2 linked regions of the Kluyveromyces lactis genome follow. The protein of the gene in region 2 interacts with the protein of the main gene of each other region in a biochemical or structural test. Links are inferred from orthologs where the notes say so. Each region holds a gene or a part of one and is shown on either strand. Other genes may lie near its edges. The genes, in order: FBP1 and VID24.

Region 1 (3,142 bases), on a different chromosome or scaffold from region 2:
TAATCCCTGTTGTTGTATCAAACACTAGTTCCATCTATCACCCCAGGTCTGGAGTCTTTAACAGGGGTACCATAACAGTCAAGGTTCTTGAGCCAATTAGCACGGAAAATTTGAAGAAAGAAGACGTAGGTGATCTATGTAACCGTGTTCACAAGTTGATGAACGACGAGCTGAAAAATATTGGATACTCCGAAGCCATCGTGGATACCGTTTTACCTGCAGATGTGATCGCGTATAACTCTGCCAGACGTTTTGAAGATCAGCATCGTTTGACTGCAGATGATTACGAAGAGGAAATAGTTGACCTGGACCGTTCTTCTATTCACTCTAATGGGACTGTTGTGACCAATCCAGAACCCACTGAACGTAGTAGTTTACTCAAAGAAGTTATTTAGAGAATATAAATAAGAGATTCTTACTTTTTATATTTAACAGTACTTTCTATAATACAAGAGAATGTATGATAAATGTAAATACTGGAATCGTGAAATAGTTATTCAAGGTCGGTTATTAATTTATTTTTAATGTGGTATTTCATGAATTATTATGTTACTTAATTTTCTTCTGTTGATGGGAGGTTCGTATACGTATTTACAACTTACCGATATGCTTTAAATATTTATCAACGTCTCCAGAGCTACCTAACCAGATACTGCTTTTGTCGTGAATATGTTGAGGGACCAAATCCAAGATACGTTCACCTCTATCATTAACGGCTTTACCACCAGCTTGTTCAACAAGGAAAGCCATTGGGAATGCTTCATATAACAATCTTAACTTCCCGTTAGGATTTTTCTTATCACCTGGGTAAGAGAATAAACCACCATATAGTAAAGTTCTGTGTACGTCAGCGACCATTGAACCGATGTAACGAGCAGAGTAAGGCTTACCGTTATTTTCTTCGCTGTTTTCCTTCAACTTGGCAATGAAATCAGCGATAGTTGGTTCCCAATAGCAGGTGTTCCCCTCATTGATGGAGTAAATAGATTTTTGCTCAGGTAGTCTCAATTCTGGGTAAGTCAAGATAAATTCACCCAAGTTATTGTCCAAAGTGAACCCATTGACACCTGCACCGGTAGTTAAAACCAAATGCGTGGACGCACCGTACATAGTGTAACAAGCAGCAACCATTTCTCTACCGCAACGAGCAACATCGTTGATGGTACCCTCACTATCTTCTTCCCCAGAGTTACCATTCTGATTCTCATGAATCTTGAACAGAGAGACAATGGTACCCACTGAGACACCAGCATCCAAGTTAGACGAACCATCAATTGGGTCACAACATACCGCGTATTTACCAGGGCTGTTACGGAAAACGATCAAATCTTCTTGTTCTTCAGACACAAGTACCTTGACGTTACCAGACGCTTTCATAGCATTGATGAAGATTTCATCACCCAACACATCCAACTTCTTTTGCTGGTCACCGGTACTATTTGAAGCACCAGCCAATCCGATCAAGTTAACCAATTCAGCACGTCTAATTGTTTGAGAAATAAATTTAAATGCAAACTGCAAAGAGTTCAAAAGCATAGAAAACTCCCCAGTGGCATTTTTCGCAGAAAGATGCTGTTGGTCCAAGATAAAACGGGACAACGTGATGATGTCGGTATTGATAGACTCAGCTGAGTCTCTTCTGTGTTTAATACCAGCCATTTATTAATTATTTAATCGGGATATGCGAAGCTTCGGAAGGGAAATGAATTGAATAGTCTTCTTTCTACTTGATTATGCCTTTAATTTGAAACTAATGCTCGAATCCAATAATAAGTCATAAAGTGCTGAAGAGGATCGAAATCATAAAACTGGTTTGAATCCAATTTATATACACTAAAATAAGGATCAAACAGACAATATACACGACTTACATCCATACGCAAGTAGCGGACAACGCAACGGATTAATTCGGAAAATTCTACCCCCGAAGAAACCAACGAAGCCAGTTCATTACTCTGTCTGATATCGATTATCTGGTCTCTGAATTTCTTCTAGCTTTGAAAAATCGCAAGAACCGCACCATTTCTGGCGCGAAGGAAACAAAAGAAAAACAGAATGAGAAAAGCTCGCTATGGACGCAGTATGGCACGTAGTGTGCTAAGGCATTTCCTAGTCACTTGAAACAGAACATGATTTGCAAGTACTATTTGATTATGTGTTTTCTGTAGCGATTTAAGGTGATTTTGCTCATAACACTGAGAGGGAAAATAAAAAAAAAGGTTTTATTGATCTTCAAATTAAATGAATCTGGGGTCATATATCGTGATGTGTGGGTTCATTGGAGCTCCGGGAACATGTTTTCGTCTTTGGTTTTCCAATTTCTGCCAGTGCTGTATCGGTAGTGGGGGGGAACCAGAGGGGCGACCGGGAGAATTTATGTATGTGTGGTTGATGGGTGTTTGACAAGTAGATTTAAATACCGTGATATTACCCGGATATCTCGTGAAAAGTAACTGAGATCCGTCCAAAAATTCGGGTCACGTGTTCTGGTCTACTGCAATAAGAAAATCTAACATGAAGAAGCGATTTCGGCATATTCCTTTGATCAGTTGTAACAATCGTCAAGGTAGAGCGGAAGTAAGCTCCATCAAATCGTTCCTTGTGTACACGATTGTATTTCCATAGGATCTCTCTTTCGCCGTCTGGTAACGTACTTTTCCGTTGGGAATAAATAGAATTATCCATCCGGTTTTCCTATACACTGCTTAACAATGGCTAATGCTTGGCAAAGTAAGAAACTTGGTGCTTGGGGAAGTGAAAGCTCTGCGTTGAAAAAAAAAAGTATGGCATATACGACCGCTTCTCCCACTTCTGCTTCAGCCATTCCTACTCCAGTAACAAGTGAAAATACCAGTAGAAGTAGTATCTCTTCGCAGGACTCACGCAGTAACAAGAAAAAAAATAACAACAGCAATGGGCAGAATTCCCAAACGAACCAAGCATCATATGTTCATTCTAAACCACCGTTCAACCACGATGAAGTGAAACAGTTCCTGATATCACAATTCGAACAGTACTCTAGGTCATCTGTGACCCTGACTACGGATGATTCTACAGATTGGAATACTTCTCAGTCGAAAACATGGAAATCAAAAAAATATGGGTGTTTGTCCGAACTTGAGCGCGTTCTAAGATAAATTTT
Region 2 (3,245 bases):
GGCTAGTTTACTGGGCTTGAAAAAATATCAATCAAACGTTGGAAGGAGTATCGCAGTTCAGTATTTCAGTATTTCTTTATATGTTGGTTAGAAGTGAAATATCGAATTATAAAGTTTCCGAAATGTTTAAGCCGAGTGACTAAGAGGATAGAGGGCAAAAAACTGAAAGACGAGTTGAGAAGACAGTACAAAACTATGAATTCAGTGAATGGAGTGGGTAACCTTGAATTACTTTGGCATCAAAGAAGAATCGTTAGATATTCAGAATGTTTGGAGGCCAAGTTTAAGGTGAATAAAGACTGTGATGAGTAAGCAGCACGTGACATGGTTCTTTGCAATGGTTCACAAATCCCGATATGAACTGAAAGTAAAACATTTGTGCAAGAAACCAGCTCGTATGGCGCAGTGGTAGCGCAGCAGATTGCAAATCTGTTGGTCCTTAGTTCGATCCTGAGTGCGAGCTGTTATTTTTTTGCCCCTTCTTCATCCTCATCGAGGGCCTCTTTTTTTTTTTTCATGACGTTCGGTTTCTAGGAGAAACAAATCGAGCAGTAAATTGTAACGATGTATATCCCATTATTTATATGACATTAGAGACGTGATTAGGTAGAAATGAAAAGTGAAAGCGTAAATTGGTATTAGAATATTAACTGAATTAATGTAATGTGGTGTAGAAGTAAACTTGAACTGAAATTTGAAGTAAATGAGTGGAGCAAGGAACTTGGTAAATTAGAAGAGACAGAAAAAAAGAATGAAAATAAAACACCCCATGAAAGATGTGGTTTTATTTATTTTAATGTCATTTAATTATGCAAATTCGAATGAACAATCTCCGATTGATGGTTCTTGTAAAGGTTGCAATTCTAACTGTTGAAATCTTTCAGCATGTTCATGGTAGTAGAACCCCAGAATGTTACCAAGTAATTGATCGTGTACTATGTAGTAGTAGCCGTCGTAAGATGCACCATCTATTGATTCCAAATCGGCATCAGGCACCAGGAATTTCTCATTCCACCTCATGTAAAGGAACCTTTGATTCAAGTAATCGGTATGTGAGTAAGTACCATCGATGATAGATTGTAGAATATTCTTAGAAGGATACTTTGGATCGTTTTGCATGCAAAGTTCTTTGAAAGATGGGAAATTCAACCAATGCTCCAAATCAGTCTGGTCCGAGGCCTTATAGGACGCATAATCTATTGGGATATCTTTGGATAGAAACCCTAGAGAATCCGTTACGGTGATGGATTCGAAGAAAGTGGTGATCTCGGGATTTTGTACCGTGAGACCCTTTATAGAGAGGAATCCAGTCAAATGAGGCGAGCAACAGTTGGATTCGTTATCATTTGGTAAAGAAACAGATTGGATAGTGATCATGACTTGGAACTTCTTGTATCCCGAGAGTTGGTACCCAACAAACCGTTTTCTAGCCCCTAGCCAATGAGTTCTTTCGTGGTTCTTGGGAGTCTGAGGTCTCGATCTAGGAGGCGAGTTCAAAGATGGTGAGCATGAGTCCTGGATATCGTAATCCTCCGAATCTTGAAAGTTTTCATGCGAACGCCGTATCGAATTGATAGAATCGTGAGACCCAGTTCTGTGCAGCGAAGTGTTCCTGAAATATGGGTTTCTATGGAAAAAAGGAGTCAAAGGCGCAGGGAATGCTATAGGTGATTGCTGTTTTTGCTGTTGCTGTTGCTGTTGCTGTTGTTCCTGGGTCTGACCCTGACCCTTATATGGAGACGAGCTACTCGCCTTGGCGAGTTGCGTCTCCAACCCAGAGCTATGCGAACGTGTATCTTCGTTGATCATCTGTAAAATGTATGAATGTATCTTGCCTTACAACTTGTAAGTTGTAACTAGTTTTCTAAAGCAAGTAACTAACTCACTTGACAAAGGCAATCTGCGATGAAGCAGCGAACAGATTAATACGTCCAACAATAACCACTCGGTATATATACATATATATAGTAATAATAATAATAATAACTATCTCAATCAAGAAGGTAATATAAAAAGCATCACCAGGCCACCTTTAAAAAGCGAAGACCAGATCGACATCGATAAAGAAATAAGAAAAAGAGATAAAAGGAAAAGAAATAAAACACGGCAAAGAAACCGACAATGAAACACGCGGAAGAGGAAGATTTCCAGTTCCAACCATGACTCTATCCTATCAACTGGACTGGGAAAAACCAATGAACAAGGCAGAGACAGAAGTAAAATGGCTGCATAGGTGAAAGGAGTGACACATAATGGAAAAAAGTAAAAAGAGAGTAAATGTGTTCAGGAGTGAATTATGATCGAGGTGCGAGTCTGGTGTTGAAGGAAAAGAAACGGGGGGAAATATCGAAGAGACTGTGCACCGGTTTCTGGGCAAAATACCCGGAAAAACCTTTCGTTTTGGATTTTCTTTTTTTCCGGCACCAAGTTGGAACAGAGAGGTACCCAACGAAATGGCGGAGGAAGAATCAAAGAAGGACCAAAGTTCACAAAAAGAAATACGAGAGAATGTTGCTACAGGGGAAAGGAACATTCACAGACATAGCCCGATCCGGTTTGTTCCGAGGTGCGGGTAACAACTTAGCGCAGCTAACTCTTTCTTTCTCTACGCTCGGTGTATGCTGTCAAAAAAGTGTGGCTCTTCTAGTCACGTGATTACTGTTATAACGCGCCCGCTTATGTTACCCGGATATATGTATATTTGCTATATTTGTATTTTCGCCACCGTTCAACGTTATTCCGGGTAACACAATGGGTATCTCTCTCATCGTCAAAAGATTTTCTCGTCACTTCTTCCACATTCAGACTGGAATTTAAAATAAAATCTGTATACCATCTTTTCACATACGTATCTATTAAATGATGCACTACTACTTGTTGCACGTATTATCGGAACTACTCTTTTTCAACTTTATATACTTACTGATTTATGTATGCCTTTTCTAATAATTAGTTAGTTAGTTGTCCTTTGTCCACTGGAATCTGCCGTCGATAAGCAATTCATAGTTAGAAGAGAAGTGCTCTTTCTTACCAAGCCAATCCCAGCTGTAACTCTCTAACCACCACCATGAATGCTCAAATCAGTAACCTAGTCATCATGTTGATCATGATGCAAGTATCTCGTCGTTTGGATATGGAGGATCCTTCGATCGTGTTGTACATCCGTATCGCTTATGTCGCTTCTGTTGCCATCACTTGGTCCATCTACCAATACGCTAGAGCTCAAATCGTTAAGAAGAACGATT

Evidence for each region.
Region 1: of the proteins of VID24 (region 2) and FBP1, one has a biochemical effect on the other in vitro, tested with the Saccharomyces cerevisiae proteins (2 studies listed by BioGRID). The link is inferred for Kluyveromyces lactis from reciprocal best matches to the Saccharomyces cerevisiae genes VID24 and FBP1.

What each region holds. Positions count from the first base shown.
Region 1 is NC_006041.1:124,797-127,938, reverse strand, and holds FBP1 (fructose 1,6-bisphosphate 1-phosphatase), read right to left. Parts: upstream 1,660-3,142; coding exon 592-1,659; downstream 1-591. Other genes in the region: 1-acylglycerol-3-phosphate O-acyltransferase SLC1, read left to right, coding at 1-395; PBP4 (Pbp4p), read left to right, coding at 2,712-3,137.
Region 2 is NC_006038.1:832,978-836,222, reverse strand, and holds VID24 (glucose-induced degradation complex subunit VID24), read right to left. Parts: upstream 1,810-3,245; coding exon 808-1,809; downstream 1-807. Other genes in the region: SND3 (Snd3p), read left to right, coding at 3,068-3,245. UniProt on the Saccharomyces cerevisiae protein: Substrate-recognition component of the GID E3 ligase complex recruiting N termini and catalyzing ubiquitination of proteins targeted for degradation.